Rattus norvegicus: one gene and its partners. The protein of the gene in region 2 interacts with the protein of the main gene of each other region in a pairwise test. Links are inferred from orthologs where the notes say so. Each region holds a gene or a part of one and is shown on either strand. Other genes may lie near its edges.

Region 1 (3,500 bases), on a different chromosome or scaffold from region 2:
GCTGGCGGTAGGTGTCTGTCTTTCCGTATAGAAGAATACTTTATTTCCCATGATACTCTCTGTGGTTCTCAGAAAGTCCCTGTAGCACGTAGCATAAAGATTTTCCTATCGGAAGGGCAAACAGTGCATATAAATAATAAAAAAAAAAAAACTCTACTGCTGATCCAACTTCAGGCATGGCTGGATTAAGAGGCTCAAACCATAGCACAAAGACTGAGCTTTGCTGGGTGGGATGGGCTCAGACCTACTATCCCAGCACTGGAGACACTGAGGCAGGAGGATTTCTGTGAAATTTGGGGCTAGCCTGAACTGTATACCAAGTTAAGGTATGGACCCCTCCATGGCTCAAACTTCACTCATTGTGGAGCTGAACCATCAACTACCCAGACTAAGATCTTCCTCCTTCAGGTCTGTAGGGCCTCATGGAGTGAACCCCTTTGTTCTCACAGGAGGAGAAGATGCGGAAGGAGGAGGAGGAGGCAAAGAAGAGAGCAGAGGATGACGCCAAAAAGAAGAAGGTTCTGTCCAACATGGGGGCTCATTTTGGGGGCTACCTGGTCAAGGTGAGTCTAGCCTGTGGAAGTCTGCATTTACAAGTAGGGAAGGGAAACTTCAAAGTGTTGGTCCTGAGGAGGGGGACTAAGCCTGGACTTCATTCAGGCGCAGCTGTCACTGTAGATAACATGACAAAGTAGGTGAGGGAGACACCCTGCTCATTGTCTCTGTCCCTCTTCTGTTCACGATGTCCTTCTGGTGGTGCCTGGGTGTTAGGGAAGAAGACTGGGGCCTGTATTCCTACATTTGAGGGAGGAGGCATGGAACTTGAATTTCTGGGTCTGAGTCGGGAGGGGCTGGAGCCTAGGGCTCTGGGACTAAAGGAGAGCTGGAGGCTGGACCCCTGGGTCTAAGGGAGGAGGGCTGAGGCTGGAGGGAGGAGGGCAGTAGTCTGGAGTTCTAAATCTGAGGGAGGAGGACTGAGGCTAGACTCCTTGCATCTGGTGGAGGCACTGACCTTGATTGAAGGACACTGAGTGGATTTAGCCTCCAGGTTCCACTCTTGGTTTGCGATTCCTCCCCCTCCAGGCAGAACAGAAGCGTGGGAAGCGACAGACTGGTCGGGAGATGAAACTCAGGATCCTGTCTGAGAGGAAAAAGCCCTTGAACATCGACTACATGGGGGAGGACCAGCTCCGGTAGGTCGCAGAGGCTCTCACAAGGCTTCAACGGGCGCTACTCTGGGTCTGAACCTTGGTGCTGTGTTACTTCAGGCAATTGGCACTACTTTTCTGGTCTACTGTTGTCTTCTGTGTTTAAAATGTCGCTCAGATACTAGCTGCCCTGTAGCTGGCGTGGCCTTTAGTGTCTGGTATCCACAGTGCCCCCTCCAGAATTTAGGCGGAATTGCAGCATTCAGGGAGGAGACAGGAGGATCAGAAGTTCAAAGTCATCGTCTGCTGTATATGGAGTTGGAGACCAGGCTTAGTTTACATGAGATCTTGTCCCAGGAACCCAAACTACACACACACACACACACACACACACACACACACACACACACACACACACACACACACACACATTAAATATGTAAGTAATAGCCAAACGGCTTTCATTCTGGGTCTCAAAGCCATTACATCCTTCTCTCTTCGTTGGGAGACTTCCGTTTGGGAACTTCCGTTTCAGAAATGTGGCCACACATTTTAAAACCTTCAGCCTGCAATCTTAGCAAGAGTGCAGCAACTCTACCAAACCCAAAGAGACTTGGCCTGGGGTAGGTGTTTCAACCTCTCTGGACCTAGAACACAGGCTGGATCTCGCTGCATCCTGGTCCTTCTCCACCTGCCAGGGAGAAGGCCCAGGAGCTGTCAGAATGGATCCACCAGCTGGAATCGGAGAAATTTGACCTGATGGAGAAATTGAAGCAACAGAAATATGAGGTGAGATCTACCTGCCTCTGTTGGGGCCCAGGCTGGGTGAGAGGTGTTGCAGGCGGGTCCCTGCCTGGGTGTCTACCTAGCCTGGTTTCCTGCTCCACAGATCAATGTGCTGTACAACCGCATCAGTCATGCCCAGAAATTGTAAGTGCCACTCCTAACCTCTACATACGAACCCTTCTGTTCCCACCATCCTTCCCTCTCTCCCACTCTCCCTCCTTCCCTCCCTCCCTCCTTCAGCTGCCCCTTTGGACTCTCCTGCCTTGCTTCCCGAGATATCCTATCTTTATCTGTTCTTGTGGGTTTATTTATTGTCTTTTTTGTCTGTTTAATTTGTTTATTATTTCAAGACAAAGTCTTACTTGGTAGTTCAGGCTAGCCTGGAACTCACTGTGTAGCCCAGGCTGGCTTTGAACATGTAAGTAAATCAGTGGCACGCTGGGATGGTAGACGTGACTTACCATTCCTGGCTGTTTTGTTTGTTTGTTTGTTTATTTATTTATTTATTTTTAAAAGATTTATTTATTTATTACATGTAAGTACATTGTAAATGTCTTCAGACACATCAGAAGAAGGCATCAGATCTCATTACAGATGGTTGGGAGCCACTATGTGGCTGCTGGGAATTGAACTCAGGACCTCTGGAAGAGCAGTCAGTGCTCTTAACCACTGAGTCATCTCTCCAGCCCCTGTTTATTTATTTCTAAGGCAAGGTTTCACGTAGCCTAGATCACTAGGTAGCTGAGGCTGGCCTTGAACTACTGATCCTCTGGATTTGGCCTTAGGAATGTTGGGATTATTGACTTACACTACAACCTCTTGCTTTCCTTATCAGCTCTTAGGTTTCAGTCTCCCTCCAGCTCCTTTCTTTCTGAGTATCTATTATTTTACACCATATTTGCATCACATGTTTGCAAGCACACATGTGTGTGCATCTGTATGCGTGTTTGTGTATGGGTATGTGTGTGTGACTGCGTGTGTGTGTGTGTGTGTGTGTGTGTATAAGTATGCATATGTGTGTGCCCACAGAAACTAGAAGGTTTGGATCCATTGGAGCTAAGTTACAGGCATTTGTGCACCACAACATATGGAGTGTACTCAGAGGATGTCTTGGAAGACTTGGTTTCTTCTTTCTTCCTTGTAGTCCATATATATATTTTTTTTTCTTGCTATATAGCCCAGATTGTCCTCAAACATTTCCTAAACCTCCTGCTTCATCCTCCAGGGCTGAGATCACTGATGTGTTCCACCATGCCCAGGCTTTTCGATGCTTTCTGCTCAGTCTGTTTCTTTTTCTAGCCTTTTCTGTACTCTTCCAGCCTCCCTGAGCCCCATTGCATGTCACGACCTCTAGCTAACCCTTCTTTTACCCCTTATAAGTTTGCATGAGTTCTCTGTGAACTAACCCATGAAAGTCAACTCCCACCTGACCACCAACCACTTACCGGGCATTATCTGAGAGAGCTGCACTCAGCCGGGTTGTGGCTCAGTGGTAGATCTAGAATCCCCAGTGAGGGACTAAGGGTGTGGCTCAGAGGTAAAGCCCCTGCCCAGAATCCCCCAGCG
Region 2 (3,500 bases):
GCGTTCCAGACCATCTTGGTCCACTTAGAGAATTCTAAGACCGACAGGGCTCCTTAGAGAGGCCCTGTCAACATTGACTGCGTAAATCTGGCTTTTTTAAAATATGAATCTGCTTCCGATCAGCGCTCAAGAGGAGCACTGCCTTTCCAAGGTCAAACATGCACAAAGCAAGTAGCACAATCATGTCCTTTACCTGTCCCAAAGTCAATGGCCCTCAAGGCCTCTGCTATGTGTTCTAAATTCAGAGTAAAGTAGTCCATGTTCTCAAAGCCTTGTTCTGTCTTCCCCAGCTGGCAGCCCTTGGAAGCTTCTACAATGCTGTGGGGGAGAGAGATAGGGTGAGGTCTCGGGCTGCATACAGGAAGGGACAGCTTAGCCTTGGCTCTATGTGGGTCCGTCCCAGTCCCACAATCCATCCCTGAAGTGAGGGGATGAAGGGGCAGAGGACATTTCTTCTTTAGGGTCAAGCAGAGTGGATGATCTAACAGAGTAGGGCACATGGTCTGGGGTGAGTCCCGATCCCCCCCGATCCTGGCAGAACTAATGCACAGGGATCCATTGGGCAGGTGTCAGAAGCCCTGAGGGGAACTAGGGACACAGGCTGTAGTCCTGGGAACACTGACCTCTTGATGAGCGGCTTGGCACTCTGTGGAGAAAAAGAACAGAGGTTAACATCGAAATTCCAAAGGATAGACTCGAGGTACCATTCCATGGTACAGGCGTAACTTGAATCCTGCCCTGTTAAATAGAACTCGGACATTTTCTCACAGATCTTGGCCAACATGAACCCCAGTCTGTTTCTACTGTCTGGGCAGGAAGCCAGGGTTCTCTGACCAAGCACTCAAAATGTCTGAAGTCTCCTGGACGAGAGTCAACCAAACTTTCTTCCATGGGTTGGACAAAGCTAGACCATAAGAGCTTGAAGGCATATATTCTGGGTATTGTAGTTTTTTTAATATGTTTTTAAATTTTTCTTGGGGGCTGGAGAGATGGCTCAGTGATTAAGAGCACTGACTGCTCTTCTAGAGGTCCTGAGTTCAAATCCCAGCAACCACATGGTGGCTCACAACCATCTCTAATGGGATCTAATGCCCTCTTCTGGTGTGTCTGAAGATAGCTACAGTGTACTCACATTAAAATTGTCTTTGTATGCATGTATGTACTTATGTAATATATGTATGTGTGTATCTATGTATATATGTGTGTATATACATGTATGTATGTGTATGTAATGTATGTATGTGTGTATGTATATATGTATGTATATGTATGTGTGCATATGTATGTAATGCATGTATGTATGTATGTGTATGCATGTATGTGTATGTATGTATGTGTATGTATGTGTATATATGTATATATGTGTGTATGTATGTGTGTATGTGTGTATGTATGTATGTATGTATGTATGTATGTATGTATATGTATGTATATGTATGTATGTTGCAGCCCCTGGAGGCCAGAAGAGGGTGTCAAGTTCCACTGCTCTTGGGATTATGGGTATTTGTGAGCTGCCAGACGTGAGTTCTGGGAACCTAACTCAAGTTCTTTGAAAGAATAGTAAGCACTCTTGACCCCTGAGCCATCTCTCCAGCCCCTCTGGGTTTTGCTGATATTGTTTAAAAGACCTATTTTTGTTTCAAGTGTATGTATGAGTGCCTGCGTGTGTGTATGTGAACCACATATGTGCCTGGTGCCCTTGGAAGTGAGAAATGGGCATTGGGTACCCTGGCACTGGAGCTATGGGTAGTTGTAAGCCACAATGTGGGTGCTGGGAACTGGACCCAGGTCCTTTGTAAGAACAAAACCAAAGTGTTATTTTTCTTTGTTTTGTTTTGAGACAAGTTCTCGATATTATGTAGCTCTGGTTGTCCTGGAATTTACTCTGTAGACCAGGCTGGCCTCAAAGTCACAGAGATCTGCCTGCCTCTGTCTCCCCAGTGCTGGGATTAAAAGTGTTCGACATAAGACATGTTCTTAGCCGTAGAATCATCTCTCCTCTCCCAATATTTCTTATGTTTGTTTTTTTTGTTTATTTATTGACAAGGTCTCACCATGCAGTCTTGGCTGCCTGGAGCTTGCTCTATAGACCAGGCTAGCCTCAAACTCACAGAGATCCTCTTGCCTCTGCCTGTGTCTTCCAAGTACTGGGATAGCAAAGTCGTGTGTCACCAAGCCTAGCCTGGCATGTTTTATTTTGAGATACTATTCCACCAAACTGTCCTGCTTTCCCCTGAACTTGGAGTCCTCCTGTCTCAGCTGCCCAAGAACTGGGATTATTTATGGTCAGGAGCCTGTAGTGACCGGAGATGCCTGACATTTCACCAAGATTTAAACAGCCCAGGCCCATTTGAAGATCAGGAAAGAGTAATAGTTCAAATCTACCCAAACCCTTCAGATTCCAGTCACCAAGAGGAAGGTGGCCCCTCCGGGCTCATCCAGGGACTGGATGGCTGTTTCCACAAGCTTGGTCGACTTTTCCAACTGCTCTCGGTACTGGAGGATCAGGGCCTCGATGAAGTCCAGCTTCTCCTCCTGCTCCTGAGTGATCCGCTGCAGCAGCTCACTCTTCTTCTCGTCCAGGATGGCGTAGAGGGCGTCAAACTTGTGGCTCAGTTCCTCCTTCACCTGGTGGCTGTTTTCCTGAGGACAGAAATCCTACAGTCACATCCCATGAAGTGCCAACCCACTTTCTGAGTCAGAAAGGGCCCCAGGGACTCTCTGCAGCAAGGCAAGACTCGATCGCACACGGAGCAAAGCTATCGAAGAGGAAAATGCCCGCACCCACAGAAGGCTGAATTGGTGCAACCTAGTGAGACCTGGTCTTAAAAAGTCGAATGGGCTTGGCAGTGGTGCCTTTCGGCATGAGATACCTCTCAGGGTTACAATGGTCCTCTCCACTCCACAGAGCAGTCCACTTGTGGTGATGATGGATGGCTCTTCCCCAACTTACCAGCTCCAACCCTCCTCAAGAAGGGACCAGGTTTTTTTCCTTTCTTTTCTTTTTCTTCCCTCCCTCCCTCCCTCCGTCCCTCCCTCTGTCTGTTCTGTTCTTTTCTTTTTCTTCCCTCCCTCCCTCCGTCCCTCCCTCTGTCTGTTCTTTTCTTTCTTTCTTTCTTTCTTTCTTTCTTTCTTTCTTTCTTTCTTTCTTTCTTTCTTTCTTTCTTTCTTTCTTTCGAGACAGGGTCTAATTCTATAACCCTGGCTGGCCTGGAGCTCTGAGTTCAAACTACAGAGTGAGTTCCAGAACAACCAGGGTTACACAGAGAAACGCTGTCCAGAAAAACAAACAAACATCAAATCAAAGGCAGAAAGACAGAAAGAAGACCGGAGAGATGGCTTGGTGGTTAAGAGCACTGCCTGCTCTTCCAGAAGACCCTGATTCAGTTCCTAGCACCTTTGTGTTGGCTCACAACCATCTTGGAACTCCATTTCCAGGGGATCTGGCTCCCTCTTCTGGCCTCCTCTGGCACTGCACACACATGAGGCACAGATATGTG
Region 3 (3,934 bases), on a different chromosome or scaffold from region 2:
TTAATAAGTCCTTTCGCATCCTCGGAATTCCAGGGGCTGACCACTTTCAAACCGGGGCAGTGCCCATACCACGCAGCGAAGCATTGCGAGTGCTGAGCAGCCACGCCCGCTGAGGCGCCGTTGGGCCCCCTGAACACTATGGGCACCGGCTGGAGGCCAGCAGACATATAGTACGTCTTGGCAGCTGAGTTTATGACCTGGTCAATAGCTTGCATAGAGAAATTGAAGGTCATAAATTCACAGATGGGCCGCAGCCCAGCCTGTCAAATGGAAAAGTCGATGTTAAAAAGACTAAACAGAACAAGGAAGAGTGGTAAACAACCAAGCAATCCACTCCTCTGACATCCGGACAGCACGGCTTGGGGTTTGTCTGTCTGTCTGTCTGTCTGTCTGTCTGTCTCTCTCTCTGTTTTTTTGTTTGTTTGTTTGTTTTTGTTTTTGTTTTTTTGAAAAAGTTTTCTCTGTGTAACTCTGGCCATCTGGAACTTACTTGTGGTCCAGGCTGGCTTGAACTTAGAGATCTGCCTGACTCTTGAGTGCTGGGATTAAAGGCAAACACCACAACACGCAGTGCAAACAATATTTTCAAAAGATATTAAGGAAATCTCCTTTGATAAGCATCATAAATATTACATACCATAGCTGCACCAACAGCAATTCCAGCAAAGCCCATCTGTAAAGCAAACAGCAAACTTTAGAAAAAGTCCATAGAAATTAAGACTGAATATTTGACCAGCCCCTCTCAGTTTGTCCAGAAGGCGTACCTCCGATATGGGAGTATCTATGATCCTCTTGTCACCATATTTCTTCCACAGGCCTCTGCTAACCTACAATTTAGATTTTGCCACATCACTTTCAAGTGGTTGTCAGGGTAAATGGCTACTTTTTAATTTTATATAAAGTTTATCTAGTTCAGTTACCTTGTATGCACCATCATACTGGGCAACTTCTTCCCCAAGCAGAAAAACCTTTTCATCTCTTTCTAGTTCTTCATCCATACCTTGATTAATGGCTTCACGAACTGTCAACTGTCACAGGTACATAAACAGAAAACACGCTACAGGATTATTAAGGAGACTACGGAAACTCCCTTCTTCATACTTATCTACGCTGCCCACAACATAAAACATAAATCTAACATTCATGCAGGCAGTCCAAGTTCCAAAAATGTGAGGAGGCAAGATGGCCAAGCCTGACGAGTCTCATCTCCATTTCTACGTGGTGGAAGGAGGAAACTGATTCCCTGGAAGTTGACCTCAAGTGCACACGGGCATGCTCACACACACAAAAAACTTATCATACAAATCAAAGCTCCAAGAACTTAACAAGTAACTTATGCCAATAATCTTTCACTAGATGTTAGTGATAAGCCTACAGAACACTTCTGCTGTACTGCTTGATGTGCACAGTCAAGAAAACCAAGCAATTGCTAAACTAGCTCGAAGGCAGTTTCCCATGTAGAAAACACGCCAGGCTGTTTTACCTATACCCTTGGAGCACTAAGACTCAGAGAACGAGCAAGGAAGGTCTAACCATGGCTACTAACTACGGCTAAGTTTAAGCATTCAGTAGTGTACAGCTTGACATCCACAATGCTGGTGCTGCTAGGCTACTAAAATATGTAGAATGGTAAAATCCTTCTAAGATATACATATGCCAAAAAGAAAAGAAGTGTGTATCTGCAAGCCAGTGTTCTCAGCACCAGAACAAATCCAAACGGTGGAAACAAAGTCACCCTTGGATGAATACATAAATAAAATGTACAAAGGATATGAGTCAATGTTTCAAAGGAACAAATTCTGATGTATGTATTCTACAATATGGTTGAACCTTGTTAAATAAGCCAGACCCCCCCCCCCAAAAAAAATCAAAAAATTCCACTTATATGACGTTCTAAAACAAGCAAACTCAAAATGTGCCAGAAAAGTACAACAGCGGCTGGCATAGTGTGAATTATCGTGTAAAGTTCTGGAGATTGACAGTGTATACAGTGAATGTATTCGATGCCACATTTGAACACACAAGGTTTTAAAGTTATATTTTACCACAATTCGAGGTGGGGGCGTAAACAGTCAGGAAAGCAGGTGGCTGTCGGTTAAGACTGCCACCGGCCTGGTGAGAATGGGTGCCAGTATGAGTGGCACCGGGCGGTGACAGAGCCAGCGCGAATCATCCGCAGGACGCGGCCACTGCCAGGGTCCGAGATGCCACTCGGCCTTGGGGCAGACGCGACCCCGATCTTTCAGGCCTGCTCCCGGAACCCAGGATTCCCTCCCGGCCTTGCCCAGAGTCCAGACCGGTTACCTGCACCGCCGCGGGCGCCGAGCGGTGGAAACGCCTCTTCAGCAGCCCGGAAGCCTGGCAGTGAAAGAGAAAGAGGTTCAGAAAGGGCACAGGGGATACGGCGGGTGCACCAGGGGCCGCTACTTACCTGCCGCAAAGGTCCCCGCACCAGACCAGCCACCGCCGCCATCTTGCCCGTGTCCTCTACTCGCAGCCGAATGACAACACAGAAGCGCCGCAGACCCCGTCCGGCGCAGCCAATGGTAGGGCGTGACACCTTTAGGTCCCGCCTCTGTTCGGCAAAGCCAATAGAGAATGTCAACTGGAGGCCCGCCTTCCTGAGTAAGCCAATAGCAGGGCAGTATTTCAAAAGCCCCGCCCCCAGGCTTTGGCAGGGTGAGACCTATGGCCCCGCCTCTGCATACGTAGCCAACGGCCAGTTTTGACGCCTGCGAGCCCCGCCCATCTAGCGAATCCTGGTCCTGCGGAGGTGACGCGAGGTTGCTGTTCCTCTCTGACCTGGTGCACTGGAGAGAACTTTGCAGACTGCTCGCGGTGGCTGTCATGCACCTAGCACGCCCTGCACTCGGCCCTTACTGCTGTCTGCTCACGTGCTAGGACTGAGTCAGTGTGGCCTGATCAACGGAGGCTGTAAAGACCTTAAGGCCCCTTTGCGGGCACTGCGGGCCTTGAGCAACACGTGAATCTTGCAACACATTGTATGAATGGGCGCTGTCAATTGAATGTAAACAATAGCTTTTTTGTGTGCACTAAGTGTCCACTTTGTGCCAGGTATTGTGATGTGTGTTTGATAAGTGATTGTAGGCGGTAGTATTCTCTCCATCCAGACGTGAAAAGGTGAGGAGTTTGTTCTGATCATGCTGAATTTAGATGGCTTACCTGGACCGTAGAAGAAGCCTGAAGCCTAGTTTTAACAGACCTAGAGACATTTGAGAATAGCTGTTTAGACGCTGCCCTTATTTTCTGCATTCAGTCTCATCGACTGTAAATGGAAAGATGGACAATGAGGTATGGGATTACCTCCTTCCAAAGCTCCCTGGTTAGGGCCATCAGGTGGTCATGTTGTAAGGTATGTCAAATATAAGTCTGCTATCAAAGAACATATAAACTTGTGTTTGGGACAAGGACTTCAAAGCCTCTTATCTCTCCTGCCATCAAAGACTTTGATGGAAATAGATGTTTTTGTTTTAACCCCACAAGACAGGGTTTTTTTTTTTTGTTTGTTTATTTTTTTTAGATTTATTCATGTATTATACATAAGTACACTGTAGCTGTCTTCAGACACACCAGAAGAGGGCATCCGATCTTTTTACAGATGGTTGTGAGCCACCATGTGGTTGCTGGGAATTGACCTCTGGAAGAGCAGTCGGGTGCTCTTAACCGCTGAGCCATCTCTCCAGCCCAAGACAGGGTTTTTATATGTAGTCCTGGCTGTCCTAAAACTCATTCTGTAGACAAGTCTGGCCTCGACTTACAGAGATCCATCTGCTTCTGCCTTCTGAGTGCTGGGATTAAAGATATGTGCCACCACCACCCGATCCATATTTTTTTCTTTTTACCACTGGGTATTTTTTATGGCATAAGTGTTTCAAATTTTATTTACTAGCAATTTTAATATTACATTCACTAC
Region 4 (3,500 bases), on a different chromosome or scaffold from region 2:
TGATGAGAAGTAGTAAGAAAATTATGGAGAGCTCTGGTTCCTCTCCACTGCACATCCACAACTCTGCTCTGATCTCAGACCACAGCTAGGACCCGGAAATGACAAGGAAGGAAGGCCCTGGCTTTGCAGCTGCAACAGAGGTGTTTCTGCAGCTTGCATCCTTAAAGCGCCCCAGGTTGTACCATGGGCCACAGCAGATAGGCAGTGAGGGCAGAGGTGAAGCTGGCCCCAGAGAAGCAGAGATGTGAAAACACAAGGAAGTTCAGGGACCAAAAAAATCAGACAAGCCACAGGCATCTAACGTGATCCCAGGGAGTAAGCAGGAGCTTGGGAGGCCAGTTATTTAACTAAAACTAAACACAAAGCTTTGAGGGAATGCCCTACTGAGGAAGAGATCCCATCTGCCCTTGGCAAAGCACAGTGACAAGACTTAGGCACCTGGCATCAAGGTCAAACGACACAGACCCTCATGAATGCCAGACAGCACTTAAGGGGCCACAGCTCAGCTCTCTGTACTTTAAAATCCAAGTGGGGAACTCACTTTTAACAATTGTTCCTGAGTTATAATTTTTAAAGATGTTTGCCTGCCTTTTCCAAATATGCCTAAAAGCAGCTATTTGGCCTTTGAACACCAATCCATCAGACGTACAGCAGACTACAAAGGTCTCTCTCTCTCTCTCTCTCTCTCTCTCTCTCTCTCTGCCTCTCTCTCTCTCTCTCTCTCTCTCTCTCACACACACACACACACACACACACACACACTCATACAGTGTAATATAAAGTTTGACGTGATTTAAATTAAAAATAGCTCTCACTGCAGATGTCCTAGTGTGCACAGAACTTACTGTGGGAAATGAAAACAAAGTGCCACCAATAAAAGCCAGTCCAGGTTTTGATTTCCTATGTGGAAAAATTTTAAAAGTGGGCATTTTTCTCACTGTGGGGGGCCCTCACTGGTGACCCCCCCAAGTAGAAGAGAGGGGAAGACAGTGCCTCTCTGAGGGGCCGGTGGACAATGCCTTTGCTTCCGTCACTCTCTCCCTGAAGAGTTACAAAATCTCCCAGGACAGAATATCACCGCCAACAGAATTTTCTTCCCAGTTCTTCTCCAGAAGGCGTCGAGTGACCACGCTCTTGAAAGGAGCAGTAAATACCCATGTAGTCCTCCGCATCCGGCTGTCCCAACTTTTTTCCTTTATTTTTCCTTTTTCTTTTTTTTTTTCTTTTTCTTTTTTGGCAAATTATAAAGGTGTATGGCTTCTTCTCGCCAATTCTTGTGAGGTTTAGCTTGGTATCCTGCGGTAAAAGTACATATATCCCAGGTCTTTGGGGGGCCTTTCTGAGGCACAAACTTTGTGGTCATTGTAGATCACCCATCTGAAAACACAGAAGTATGTGTGGGTTTGTGTCAGCAATATCCCCATGGCAGGAGGAAGGCACTGTACACTGTGGAGGGGAGTCTCCAGTAACTCAGATGCTTTAATGTAAGGCCAAAACACAACATAAAAGGAACAGAATTTTGGTAAAGAACCACCCCCACTCCCACCCCTGCCAGGACAGTGTTTTTAACCCCAGGCTGGCCTCAAACTCCATAAGTAGCATAGGATGCCCTTGAACTGTGCACCAGTAACTGAGTAGGAAGCCCCAGTGTTTGTGTTTGTTAAACAGTTGAGCATACAACATGTCAGACACACGTGCATGCTTATAACATTAGTACTCAGGAGGCCGAGGCAGGGGAACTTCAAGTTAAAGACCAGCTAAGACTACAAAACAGGTTCTAGGCTAGCCTGAGCTACACAGAGACTCTGGTTTAAAAAGCAAAGGTGGAGGGGAGGAGTATGCCTCTTCAACCCACTATGAGAGGCTGCATGGTGGTACTCACCTTTAATCCTACCCAGCACTACGGAGGAAGAGGCAGTGGATATGAGTTCAAGAACAGCCTGCTCTATAGTGAATTCCAGACCAGCCCAGGTCTACATAATGAGTCCCTGTCTTAAAATAAGACAAAACAAAACAAAACAAGGCAAAGCAATGTAGGAAGCAGAAATAACATAAAAACACCAGTGCGATTAGTAAAGTGGCTGAGCCCAGGAGGCTGGACAGCATAGCTATCCACTACCTTCTAAAAGACTCACCGTCCCTCCTTCTTGATATGGCAAACATAATGGCCACTCATCGTAGATGTTCCCATGTGACTGATGAACGCAAACAACTCATACACTAGGGAAAGAAAACAATGCCGTTACAAGGCAGCAGTTGGGAGCCAAGCACGCTTCTGAACAGAGCCTGGGGCCAACAGGAGACTGGCTGACTATGTAGATTCACCATGCCATATCGATCACACACACTAGAGCACACACACAATATGGCAATGCACGCATGTACATACACACACATGCACACACACACATTCATACACACGTTCAGATACACACACATTCATACACACACACACACACACACACACACACACACTAATATGGTATGCCGCTATCAAAGTACAGCAAGCACTGTTGTGTGTGTGTGTGTGCACATACGCATGCACACATGCGCATGCATGTGTGCTTGCAATCCCAGAACTCAGTAGGCTGAGGCAGGAGAATGCTGAGTTTAAGACTCTAACTCAAAAATAAAAAGGAAGAAAATGAAGTCAGAGCATAACCCTGAGATTTGTACATTACTCTTATTTCCAGCAACCTTACAATGCCTGCTTGTCAGCTCTAAGGCTATCAATAGAGTCATTGATTTCCACATGCAGGACCATGTCACCTAGGTACTTTGTACTGGGTTGAGAAAGCTTCCTTTACCCCTGGTTTGCTGACTGTTTTCCCTCAGCCTTACCATCTCAATCAATGGCGATCCCAGTCTTCTAGTAACTTATGTCAAAAATCTCGATTAGCTCTCTCGCTCCTTATATCTTGCCAAATCACTAGTAAACCCAGTCACTATGTCCTTCAAAATATATCCAGAAGCCAGCCATCGAAGCCTTCTCCACTCATCCCCCTGGCTCCAGGTCACCAGGGCCCTACTCAGGACTGGTTACAAGTCCCCTAACTGATTGCTGCCCCTCCCTTCTCCCTGACAATTTGGACTACTCTGGGCATGGCTCCCAAAGTGGTCTTTCCTATCTTTGTTTATTTGCTTGTTTGTTTTTGCTTTTAGTGGACGTCAAACTGTGGTTGTTATTGTTCCCAATACCCTCTGGTGACTCCTACAGAGCTCCAGAACCTCTGATTCTTGCAACAGTCTATGAGATGCCCTGACCTCTTCCCATCTTTCCCATCACTTCACTAAGTTACTCTGGCCCCGAGTAGGGCCTCAAGCACACACAGTGTGCTCTGCCCTCAAGCCTCCACACCTACTGTACCTTCTAGCAGCCAACGTTTTTCTTCAATCCTCACATGACTCAAGGCCTCTGCTGTGACCCAGAACCACCCACCTTATAAACCCTCACCTATCTCCCACCTCATGCCACTAGGGCTGTTGCTTCACCCTGCTTC
Region 5 (3,953 bases), on a different chromosome or scaffold from region 2:
GACACCTCACAGCGGTAGCCCCCAGCAGAAGTGGCCTGCGCATCTGTGATGTGCAACTCAAACAAGTAGACCTGTGGGCAGGGGATGGAGGAAGTCTGGGCAAGGAGAGGCCCTGCATTTCTAGAGAGAATGGGCATGGCAAAGCCTGCCCGCCTCACCTCTCAGGGCTAACACATACAGAGCCTTTGTATAACTCACAGAAAGGATCCACCTTTCAAGACCCTTGATGGGCTCTTGCTGGCGCATGGCCACGATAAAATTCCAAGCAGATGGCTACACGTAGGAGCTGTTTTGTGCAGTGTGCGGCTGGTGTGGCTGACCATTGCAGCTCTGCCCTGCTTCCCAGTCTTCTAGCCTCCCTACATCCTGTACTCCATAGTTCCGTGCCCTGTGTCCCACCTTGCTGGCTCTGTCGTAGCTGTCGTGCAGCTGCAGGTGCTGGCCCACCTTGCTGCTCAGGTCCACCCACTTGCCCTTAAACCACTTGACTACAGGCGGTTTCAGGAGGCTGGCTCCCGCCACTCGGGCTGAGAAGACGATGCTGCCGCCTGCAAGAGAAAGGTGACTTCTCTGACCTTGTTGCCCTGGGGCTTCCTTCCCCGTCCCAAGTATGAGCACAGAAGCTCCCACTTACCCACGGTCACCTCGCCATCCTGTGGCCGCATCAGAAAGAGGCCAATAGGGTCGTCAGGGGCTCCCTGACTCCCTGCGACTGAGCCATCCTGGGTTACCGAGACTGACCCTAAGAAAGAAGGCTTTTGAGGTCTGTCCTGGGATATTCCCCACCCACTGGCCTGTCCCTCATTGTCCAGTCCCCTTTACCTTCAGGACTTGAGACATTTCCTTCCAACTGAGTGGCTAGAGCAGGAACTTCTTTGGGAGTTTCTGGAGCTTCCATAGAGGTTGGAGCAACTGCAGACTCTGCCTTCTCTGGAGGGGCTTAGGTGGGGTCATGGAACGGTTTCTAATCAGAGCCCCCCTCTCGGACATCAGACCTATGTCCCACCTAAAATGCATTCCACTTGTGCCCCAGACTCCTTCAGGCACTGGTCTCACTCCAAGAAGAGGAGCTAGCCTGCTGCTCCTCCAACCTTCACAGTCCACCTGTCCCATGTCCAGATTTCTGCTCTGAACAGCCCTGCGATCCATCTGCTGTCCCTTTCCAGGCTTTGGCCTTGACCCAGCACCCCCAGCACCACCAAGCTCCTCACCAACACATACAGCTAGCCAAGTCCTTGTCTGGGTGTGGCCAGACTCCGGGTCTGCTATGGGAGAGGGCCCTTCCTAGAACACCGCTCATGGTTTCCCACCCCCACAATGCAGAAAGAGCTGCAGCCACAACTAATGCTTAGAGAGATCTTGGTGCAGAAGAGGGGAACAGGCATTTCTGGTTTACAGCACTGCCAGGGCAAAGGCCAGTGCCCAGAGTCCATTCCCTGTTCAGGGCTATGACTGAAGATCAGGTTGGGCCCTGAGGAGAGGTCAGCAAGCCCTTACCTGGCTCTGTGACCTTAAGGTCAAACTTGACCTTTGAGGAGCCTGCGATGACCGCATAGGAACCCTGATCGTCAGGGCCCACATCCCGCACTGTCAGTGTGTGTCGTTTGCCCTCTGCTGCCAAACCATACTTGTCATTGGCAGCGATATCACTGCCATCCCGCTGCCACTGCACCTTCAGGCCTGACCGCTCCGTCTCAGCCTCGAACACAGCAGCACTGCCTGCGGTCACCTCCACTGACCTGGGCTTCTTGGTGAAGGCTGACACTGAAGAGTCAGATGGAAATTGCAGGAGCCAGGCTCCCTGGTACCTGACCCCTGACACCCTCCTTCAAGAAGACTGTGGTAAGCACACTCCAAGCCTCTTGTTTAATGCTCCAGGAGTTCTATGGGGTAGGTGCAACCATATTTATTTCTCAGGTGAGGGAGAGGTTAAGTGACAGATGATAGAGCTCAGGATGTTGTCCCTACCACCCCACAAGATGTTCCTACCCTCCTGACTAGGAACATCAGCGATGGGCCCAGCCTCCTCTCCCATTGTGGGACCCTTGGCAAGGGCCCCAGCTGCCTACTTGGAATATAGCTAAATTTGTCCTCTGAGGGCTTCACACTAAGAATGAGCAATTGAGATAACACTAGCCTGGGAGCAGCAGGGGGGCTGGAGGTAGGGCCTGGGGACTGGATCCCTGCCCCCATGATCTCTGCAAGGGTATGGGCCTGGTTCAGGCCTTTGGTTGCAGGTTCTCTGTCCTTCGTTTGCCTGTTCTAGTCAAGAGAAGAGAGGCTCTGTCACCCCATATCTGGAGTCAGGCATGATGTGAGGACCCTAGGGGTTCCGGCTCATGTGGCAGACACTCAGAGCTGGAACGGATCACTACCCCCACATACTCAGTACATTCAGAAACTGAGACCAGAAGGTGCTCAGGGACTCAGTGGACTGCCTCCACTGCAACCTACGTGGAACTTCTGGAATTTGACTGAAAAAGAAAGCATAGGTCCGAATAGAATGACCCTGGATTCTTCCTAACTTAGAAAAGTCATCTCTCAGTGGCCCTGACACTGAATTTAATCCTCAACCTCTTTAGAGGGTTGGGAAAAGAAGCAGAGAATCAGACACAGCCCAAAGAGGACCGCTGTCCTGTCCCTTCCTGGAACCCACAGGCCTCATCCTATGCCAGTACCTAACCTACCCGCAAGCCATGCACACCACTGCCCCAGGTCCAGACCCAACCCCTTCTGTGGAGCTACCTGGTCTCTTCCCTGGCTCAGGCATCTTGAGAACAGTCACACGGCGCACCAAGCAGGCCACCCACGGAGGGACTGAACAGTGTCCCGTGTTCTCACTATTTATGAGGACTACCCCCTCCCCAGCCCTGCTTATCAGCCTCCTGCTAGCCACCTGCTAAATATAGACAAATTCCATCCAGCTGAGGTATCTTCATGGAGAAGATAGGGCCACTTGGTCCTCCGGCTTCTCCTCCCCCACTTCCAGCAGGACTGAATAACTTCTGCCCTTCCAATCCTCCGTGGACCTCAGAGGTAGGCCGACCTTTGTGTATCCACCCAGCGGAAAACTATACTGTCGAGGGGCTCTTGGCCTGTGACACCCACAGCTAAAGGGTCAAGGGCACATGCGCTGGGGGCGAAGGTGTCCAGGGCTAGCTAGCTGCTATTGTTCTTTTGATCGGCAGAGCTTTGGCACACGTTACTGCACCATGAGGGGCATGGGCTGGCCTTGGACCATGGAATCCTGGGTGGGCTTGGTCTAGGCTTGGGCAGGGAGGGAATAATGCTGGGAGTTACTGTCCCACCAAGGGACGCGCTAGGCAAGCCTGCAGATGAGGGAATGGGGGTGAATCTCTAAATGTACTCCAAAGTGGAGGACAGGAGCAGAGAGAGCTCTTACTGAAGTCACGAGGATGAACCGAAGATAAATGGGGAGGATCCTGAATCCCTCAGCCCCCACCCCACCCCACTGTTCTTGTTCTGTGACTGGACCCTCCTGATACTCCTCATGCGTCAGGTTCATCCACTGTTAGGGGGGAAAAAGAAATGATGGGAATCCCCATCAAGCCACACTAGTAGAATAGATAGCCTATCACCAGAAGGGAGGAAGCCCATATATAAGCATCTTCCATTCAATAGGAACTTATCAGCCACGATTTCCACCCAATTTTAGTTACTTTAAAGTCACATCACCTGCTCCTAAGTCATGTGTGTGTGTGTGTGTGTGTGTGTGTGTGTGTGGTGTGAGTCTGTGTATATGTGTGTGTGGTGTGTGTGAGTGTGTGTGTGTATTTGTGTGTGTGGTGCATGTGTGTGTGTTTGAGAGTGGTGTGTGTGTGTGTATTTGTGTGTGTGGTGCGTGTTTGAGAGTGTGGTGTGTGTGTGTGTGTGTGGTGTGTGAGTCTGAGTGTGTATATGTGTGTGTGGTGTGTGCGTGTGAGTGTGTGTGT
Region 6 (2,824 bases), on a different chromosome or scaffold from region 2:
ATACAACGTGGGCCGAGGCCTAGGATTCAGTAATGCGCTATTCCGAGTCTGACAGGAGCTGAGCGCTCTCTCTCCTGTCCCTAGGAGTTGCTGCCTCTGTTGCTGCTGCCTCGAGGGCCTTTGCTCAGTGCCTCAGTGCCTCAGCAGCGCCTATCTTCCTCACCCCCACCTCCTGCCCCCTGCCCTTCCCCCAGCCTCGCCTCCAGCTTCTTGTACCATGAATTACACCCTGGATGCTTGGGCGATCTCATGACATCTGTTTCCTCTGCTTCATGAGACAGAGCTAATCCCACCTCCCAGGTAACAGGGCAGTGGGGCTGCCCAGTCCAAGGGTTCATTCCCCTGTGGCCAGAAAAGCAGATAAAGGGAGACTCTGAAAGGGGCAGGCACTGCTCCATGATTATATAAAGTAGAGCCAGCTTGAGGCTGGTCTGGGCCTCCTAACCCTGCTCAGTGCGCTTTCTCTCTTTCTGTCTCACCATGCTTCTCCCCATGTGGGCAGCTCCTCTCCCACTCCGGATTCCTTCACCCTGACTGGTGGTATTTAGACCACTTCTGGGAATGAAAGCACACGGGGGCCCACACCCAGGGGTCGGGTGTGGCAAAAATGTCCTCTCCCCTGCCCGGTGCTGCTGGTTAGTAACTAGGCTTTCTGTACAGACTCGGTTACGTGATCCTTCTGGTCAAGGGACCTCACTATGGTATGTGCCCTTGAGCCCAGGAAGGGGAGACGATGGGGCAGAGCGAGGGGGGCATCAGTTCCTGCTTCTCCTGTTCTGTTTACAGACAAGCCGCTGTCCTCCCTGAATAAGGGGGAGCAGGCAGAAGACAGTGCCAAGGTGGCACGAGGCTGCCCACGTGCCTGGTCTGAGGTGGTGTTTGCTGCATGCCAGACACCCGGAGGTGCTACTCTGAGGACCCAGGCCCCCAGCAGAGCATCTCGCAGGCTTTGGAAGCTGACCTCTGACCTGAGAGCAATCAGAATTTGGGTACCCCAACCCCCGCCCTGGATTCAGAGCCCCATCACCACCAGTGAGTCTTGGCTCTGCTTATAGCATCTGACGCCAGAGGGGCTGAAAATAGCCCCTGGAGAGGGGGGAGAGGGGGGAGAGGGGGGAGAAGGGGGCTATTTAAAGGGCTCCGGAGGAGCAGGGCATAGCAGAGGGATCAAGAAGGAATAATGGCCACTTCAGAGCTGAGCTGTCAAGTGTCTGAGGAGAACCAGGAGCGCAGGGAAGCCTTCTGGGCCGAGTGGAAAGACCTGACTCTGTCTACCCGGCCGGAAGAGGGGTGAGTGTGGATCATCTGGAATTCTGCCTCCCCCTCCCCAAATGCCTGCTACATAGCAGAGTACACGCCCCTGAAGTTTCTGGGGCCCCTCCCCTGCTCCAGGGACCTGGCCATCCCAGGGAGACCCCACTTAGCCCAAGACCAGAGAGCAGCTGCTCTCAGTTGATTCTCCTCATCTCTCCACTTTCAGATGCTCCCTGCATGAGGAGGATACACAGAGGCATGAGACCTACCACCGGCAGGGACAGTGTCAGGCCGTGGTACAGCGCTCGCCATGGCTGGTGATGCGCCTGGGTATCCTCGGCCGTGGGCTGCAGGAATACCAGCTGCCGTACCAGCGGGTGCTGCCGCTACCCATCTTCACCCCTACCAAGGTGGGGGCCACCAAGGAGGAACGCGAGGAGACCCCCATTCAGCTGCGGGAGCTGCTGGCCCTGGAGACAGCCCTGGGCGGCCAGTGCGTGGAGCGCCAGGACGTGGCTGAGATCACCAAGCAGCTTCCCCCGGTGGTGCCAGTCAGCAAACCTGGGCCCCTGCGGCGTACCCTGTCTCGGTCCATGTCTCAGGAAGCTCAGAGAGGCTGAGATGACTGCGACCGATGCAGACTCTGATGTGTCTGCCTTGGGCTGGGCACTTCCTGCCTAGGACGATGGGGGAGAGCTGCTGGCCAAGGCTGCTTTGTAGTTTGCCCAGAGGTGCGGGCCATGGGAGGAGGGAGCCAGAGGCCAGGATGCCTAGGTGTCCTGGGTCCCCACAGGGAGGGGAACAAGGATGGTGGACACTAGGAGTGGAGAGCTGAGTACCCTCAGCCCCAGAAGAAGGGACAAGAGATTCTGTTGAGAGCCAGAGGCCCCGTGAGAGGCCCTGGAACACGCCTGTGCGGTTACAGCGATGGAGTAGGAGAAGGAAGGATGTAGAATGCTCCGGAAGGATGCTTGGAGACCGGAAGGAGGGGGATGTAAAGAGGGTGAAAGCAGGGCAGGCCCCCAGCACCCTCTGTTAGCACTGCAATAAACGCTCAGCCATGTCCCAGGCTTGCATCGTTCTTTCTCTCTCTCTCTCTCTCTCTCTCTCTCTCTCTCTCTTCCTTCCTTCCTTTTCTCTTTCTTTCCTTCCTTCCTTTCTTTCTTTCCTTCTTTCTTTCTTTCTCTTTCTTTCTTTCTTTCTTTCCTTCCTTCCTTCCTTCCTTCCTTCCTTTCTTTCCTTCTTTCTTTCTTTCTTTCTTCCTTTCTTTCTTTCTCTTTCTTTCTTTCTCTTTCTTTCTTTGTGGTTGGGGGTGGGCATGAATGTCTCCCATGAACTTCTGGGAACAGCCAAGCATTTGAATTAAATATGGCATAACCAGAGGGTACACTCCATGCTTCTGAGTGGGGTACAGGGGCAGGGTTGTAAACAGAGTAACTGTCTGGTCCCCCTTCCTGTGCCACTGCCCGGCCCTGGCTTCTGTGTCCAGTTCCTGGCACTGGGGAGTGTTCAGCAGGCCAGCTGGCATCAGGGTTTGTTTAAATGGTATCTGTGGACAATATGGAAGGGG
Region 7 (3,962 bases), on a different chromosome or scaffold from region 2:
CGGAGTTGGGGACTGAACCCAGGGCCTTGCGCTTGCTAGGCAAGCACTCTACCACTGAGCTAAATCCCCAATCCTGCTTCTACTTATAAAGTGTGAATTTTAATATTCTTTTATGTTTTTTTCTTTTTTGAGACAGGATGCCATATAGCTCAAACTGGCCCTGAATACATTCTATAGCTGATGATGAACTCCTGCTCCTTCTGCCCACCTCTCAAGTACTAGATTGCGGGCATGCGAGCACTGTGAACAGTTTCCTGACGAGCTGTGAAACACGCTACTTACCCACATGGCTGAGCTTATCTGCTCACAGCTAACTGTCTACCACATGCTTTGCGAATAGATGCTATACGCCAGTGTGCAGGATAACTTCAGATAAGCATGCCTTTTACTCTGTGTGTGAATGTATGTGCACCTGTGTGTAAGTGTGGGCGCCTATGTGCATGTGGTGGCCAGAAGCTACACCATATCCTTCCAAGCTGGAGCCTCAGGCATTTGCAGGACTCTCAGCTTGTTACCTGGGTGCTGGGATGTGTACTCCAGCTCTTGTGATTGCACAGCCAGTGCCTTTAACCACTGAGCCATCTCTCTAGCCCCAACAGTCCCCTGACTCTTAACATCTTAGATCACGATCCACAGTATCCTTCGACTTTTAAACGACACCATCTTTTCTCGGTAACGGAAGCATAATCAGTTTGTGGAATAGAGCATGATTTACTAAGCTTCATTAGTAGGTTTTGAGTCTATTCATGTAGGTTCTACATGTCAAGGAATTTATATCCTGTGTTTATAACAACTTTATCACAAGTCATTATTTGCTCCTAGAAAAAGAATCAGACAAAAACATAACCCTAGACAGGCAGTGGTGCACACGCCTACAATCCCAACATCCAGGAAGCAGGGACAGGCAGATCTCTGCGAGTCTGAGGCTAACCTGACCTACACAGACTGCCAGAACACTAGAGTGCAGGGTTACACAGAGAAACACTGTATTGAAAAACAACGAAACAATTTAGCCCTACTAAATGTCTTGGGAGGATTGGTTCTTGGAGTTTTCTCACCTAGTAAACACACCTAGTAAAGATTTCAATTCTTGACTCCATTTTGAAGATTTCTAAATTCTATGTTCACTATTTCATATGGATGAGTGTTTTGCCTGTGTGTATGTATATGTGTGTGCCTAGTGCCTGTGGACGTCAGAAGAGGGTACAGGATCCCTTGGGACTGGAGATATAGATGGCCGTGAGCCACTGTGTGGGTGCTGGAAATCAAAGCCAGGTCCTCTAAAAGAGAACAAATGCTATAAACCAGACTCAATTCTCCAGCCCAATTTGCAATTTTGAATAAAATATTTGAGTTTGTGTGTACGTATCCCAGAAGGCCAGAAGTGGGGAAGGCTAGAAGAAAGTGTCTGATCTCCTGGAGCTAGAGTTACAGGTGGCTGGAAGTTGCCCAATAAAGACGCTGAAAGCAGAAATCTGGTCCTCTGTAAGAGCAGCAGCCCTCTTAACCAAAGAGCAAACCAGTGCTCCAGATTTGCAACTATTTTTGGATAATCATCCAATTCAATGTAATCTTCAAAAGCATTTTTTTTCTTCCTTCAGTGCTACGTATCAAGCTCAAGGCTTTATACTCACTAGGCAAAGGCTCCACCCCAGTTAATTTCCCAGTCTTTCAGAGGCATTTATTTTCTGTGTTCAAGTGTAGCACATACACATAGATACAAATATCTATGGAGGGCAGAGGAAACTGGGTGCTGTCGCTTATTACTCTACACCTTGTTTTTTTACTTTTGAGGTAAGCATTGAAGACTCATGCCTTTCTTTAATCCCAGAAATTGGGGAGCAGAGGTAGATGGATCTCTGAATTCAAGAGGTCAGCTTGATCTACAGAGTGAGTCCCAGCACAGCCAGGACTACACAGAGAAACCCTGTCTTGAAAAAAACATGAGGAAAAAACTAATTTAATTTTTACGTATGTATACATGGGATGGTGAGATACTGTAGGGTTTAGGAGTTGCTCTTCCACAGGACCCAGGTTCGATTCCCAGCACACACAAGGCAGCTCACATCCACCTGTAACTCCAGTTCCAGGGGCTCTAATGTCCTTTCCGGGCCTCCGTGGGCATTATGCACAGACATGGTGAACATACACACATTTGAGTAAGCCACTCATACAGGTAAAAGTAAGACCAGCTAGACACACTTGCCGCTGTGAAGTCAAGTCAGAATTGAAGACTGGTACAGGGACAAACCCGGCAGTACTCCAGTCTCCACCCAAAACACGTAAGACTGCAACCCAAGGTCACATCCCAACCTAGGACAACACGGCGCGCCTCATCTGGAGGACTGGCAAACACTCACCGTGCAGGTAGGATGCGAGGACTGCTCCGAGGCCACACGCAGCCCGTTGTCCAATACGCTGACCTGTGTCTCCGGCACGCTCTGGAGGGCCTGGACGAAGGTTGCGGTACCCCGCAAGGCAGGTAGCCTCAGCAGGGCCGGCTAAAGGAAGAAGGTGACCACTGTAAGAACTGCTCTCCAAGCCTCTGGGACCTCGACTCTCACATCCAAGCCCGAGAAGATACCCATCCCCGCCCTCCGCCATGACCTTCCCACGGCCCTGACCCCCGCGACCTCCCCACTCAGACCCGCCACTGCTGAGACAGCCTACTCCTCATCTGCGTGCCAAAGCCCTGAGCCCTGCAGCCCAACGTCTCGCTGCCACCTCACCGAGCGGCAGGTGCGAAGTAGCGCTTGCGTCCCAGAGCAGGCCGCTCGGCAGACTGCGGACGCCGCCATCTTCTAACTTCCGTCAGCGTAAAGCCGCGCTACGCATGCGCAGGGTGGAGTATGAGGCGCAGGCGCTGTAAGGAAGAGTTGGTGCTCGATCGCCCCCTGCTGGGCATCAAGTCCATTGGCAAGAATTAATCGCATGTTGTCGTTTGGTCCTTGTGCCTCTAAGAGAACCTGCGACTGGCTGGCCCTTAGACGGTCCCATTCGTCGCCTTCTTCCACCTGAGGGAGGCGGTGTGCAACTGCAGGAGATGTAAGCCAGCAGCAGCTCAGAGCCCTGGAGGACAGTGGCTCAGCACACATTAAGCCCAAAAGCTGAAGCACTTTTCTGTCTGTGCTCTCTGTGCTAGAAGGTGTCTGGGAAGAGGAGACAAAAAAGAATAAGGAGTTCAAGGACATCCTCTCCTGTGTAAGGAGTTCAAAACTATCCTGGGCTATGTAAGACAGTGTCTCCAAAATGTAAGAAAAAAAAAGTGTGTGTGAAAAGAAGGAACCGTGTAGAGGTAATTTGTGAAATAGGACTCCTTGTTTGGAAAACAAAAACTAAACAAAAAAATGTCTTTTCTGTATTTGTGATTATTTCAAAACATTAAAAAAACTATCTGAAATCAGACAAACAATACTTAGTGTATATTGACATTTTGTGGACCAGAAATATGATTTAGAGCAGAAAATAAAGTGAAATAAAATCTTTTAAATTGCTGGATGTGGTAGTAAATACTGATAGTCCAAGTACTCAAGAGGCAGAGGCAAGTAAGCCCTCTGAGTTCCAGACCAGCCTGGTATTCACAGTGAGCCAAGGATATCCAGCGAGGGCCAGCCGCAAACACACAAAGAAAGAAACAAAAGACAAACCCTAGTTACCTGCTTCTTTTCTCGGAGAGAAAGGGTCATGTGTAGCCCAAGCTGGCCTCAAAATCACTTTGAAGCCTAGGATGACCTTGAACTTTTCTGGTCCTTCTACCTCCCCCTCCCAAGTAATAAGATCAGAGGCAAATAAGTGCCACCGACGGACGGGCTTCCCTGGTGCTGAGGGGTAAAGCCTGGGTCTGGTGAACATTAGGCAAATTCTGCCAACCGAGCTACATCGTTAGCTCTCTTTCAGCTTCCTGAAAAACGTGAGTTTTTAGTTTAAGATTATTTTATCTACTATGTGTGTGCACATGATGT

What was found.
Region 1: the proteins of Trim63 (region 2) and Tnnt1 interact in a two-hybrid assay, tested with the Homo sapiens proteins (2 studies listed by BioGRID and IntAct). The link is inferred for Rattus norvegicus from reciprocal best matches to the Homo sapiens genes TRIM63 and TNNT1.
Region 3: the proteins of Trim63 (region 2) and Pdhb interact in a two-hybrid assay, tested with the Homo sapiens proteins (2 studies listed by BioGRID). The link is inferred for Rattus norvegicus from reciprocal best matches to the Homo sapiens genes TRIM63 and PDHB.
Region 4: the proteins of Trim63 (region 2) and Usp13 interact in a two-hybrid assay, tested with the Homo sapiens proteins (2 studies listed by BioGRID and IntAct). The link is inferred for Rattus norvegicus from reciprocal best matches to the Homo sapiens genes TRIM63 and USP13.
Region 5: the proteins of Trim63 (region 2) and Mybpc3 interact in a two-hybrid assay, tested with the Homo sapiens proteins (2 studies listed by BioGRID and IntAct). The link is inferred for Rattus norvegicus from reciprocal best matches to the Homo sapiens genes TRIM63 and MYBPC3.
Region 6: the proteins of Trim63 (region 2) and Tcap interact in a two-hybrid assay, tested with the Homo sapiens proteins (3 studies listed by BioGRID and IntAct). The link is inferred for Rattus norvegicus from reciprocal best matches to the Homo sapiens genes TRIM63 and TCAP.
Region 7: the proteins of Trim63 (region 2) and Uqcrc1 interact in a two-hybrid assay, tested with the Homo sapiens proteins (2 studies listed by BioGRID and IntAct). The link is inferred for Rattus norvegicus from reciprocal best matches to the Homo sapiens genes TRIM63 and UQCRC1.

What each region holds. Positions count from the first base shown.
Region 1 is NC_086019.1:78,355,535-78,359,034, forward strand, and holds part of Tnnt1 (troponin T, slow skeletal muscle), read left to right. Parts: coding exon 1-7; intron 8-449; coding exon 450-563; intron 564-1,083; coding exon 1,084-1,193; intron 1,194-1,846; coding exon 1,847-1,937; coding exon of another isoform or gene 1,938-2,037; coding exon 2,038-2,078; coding exon of another isoform or gene 2,079-2,303; exon of another isoform or gene 2,304-3,500. UniProt on the Homo sapiens protein: Troponin T is the tropomyosin-binding subunit of troponin, the thin filament regulatory complex which confers calcium-sensitivity to striated muscle actomyosin ATPase activity.
Region 2 is NC_086023.1:151,823,736-151,827,235, reverse strand, and holds part of Trim63 (E3 ubiquitin-protein ligase TRIM63), read right to left. Parts: intron 2,644-3,500; coding exon 2,410-2,643; intron 647-2,409; coding exon 624-646; intron 319-623; coding exon 194-318; intron 1-193. UniProt on the Homo sapiens protein: E3 ubiquitin ligase. Mediates the ubiquitination and subsequent proteasomal degradation of CKM, GMEB1 and HIBADH.
Region 3 is NC_086033.1:19,181,655-19,185,588, reverse strand, and holds the start of Pdhb (pyruvate dehydrogenase E1 component subunit beta, mitochondrial precursor), read right to left. Parts: upstream 2,801-3,934; 5' UTR 2,474-2,800; coding exon 2,432-2,473; intron 2,359-2,431; coding exon 2,305-2,358; intron 1,029-2,304; coding exon 921-1,028; intron 828-920; coding exon 765-827; intron 674-764; coding exon 638-673; intron 261-637; coding exon 1-260. UniProt on the Homo sapiens protein: The pyruvate dehydrogenase complex catalyzes the overall conversion of pyruvate to acetyl-CoA and CO(2), and thereby links the glycolytic pathway to the tricarboxylic cycle.
Region 4 is NC_086020.1:117,609,943-117,613,442, reverse strand, and holds part of Usp13 (ubiquitin carboxyl-terminal hydrolase 13), read right to left. Parts: intron 2,221-3,500; coding exon 2,136-2,220; intron 1,378-2,135; coding exon 1,284-1,377; 3' UTR 1-1,283. UniProt on the Homo sapiens protein: Deubiquitinase that mediates deubiquitination of target proteins such as BECN1, MITF, SKP2 and USP10 and is involved in various processes such as autophagy, endoplasmic reticulum-associated degradation (ERAD), cell cycle progression or DNA damage response.
Region 5 is NC_086021.1:97,549,908-97,553,860, reverse strand, and holds the start of Mybpc3 (myosin-binding protein C, cardiac-type), read right to left. Parts: upstream 2,801-3,953; 5' UTR 2,771-2,800; coding exon 2,746-2,770; intron 1,765-2,745; coding exon 1,498-1,764; intron 940-1,497; coding exon 823-939; intron 743-822; coding exon 635-742; intron 549-634; coding exon 400-548; intron 72-399; coding exon 1-71. UniProt on the Homo sapiens protein: Thick filament-associated protein located in the crossbridge region of vertebrate striated muscle a bands. In vitro it binds MHC, F-actin and native thin filaments, and modifies the activity of actin-activated myosin ATPase.
Region 6 is NC_086028.1:83,876,851-83,879,674, forward strand, and holds Tcap (telethonin), read left to right. Parts: upstream 1-1,155; 5' UTR 1,156-1,180; coding exon 1,181-1,290; intron 1,291-1,480; coding exon 1,481-1,874; 3' UTR 1,875-2,324; downstream 2,325-2,824. UniProt on the Homo sapiens protein: Muscle assembly regulating factor. Mediates the antiparallel assembly of titin (TTN) molecules at the sarcomeric Z-disk.
Region 7 is NC_086026.1:118,467,061-118,471,022, reverse strand, and holds the start of Uqcrc1 (cytochrome b-c1 complex subunit 1, mitochondrial precursor), read right to left. Parts: upstream 2,801-3,962; 5' UTR 2,799-2,800; coding exon 2,730-2,798; intron 2,502-2,729; coding exon 2,361-2,501; intron 1-2,360. UniProt on the Homo sapiens protein: Component of the ubiquinol-cytochrome c oxidoreductase, a multisubunit transmembrane complex that is part of the mitochondrial electron transport chain which drives oxidative phosphorylation.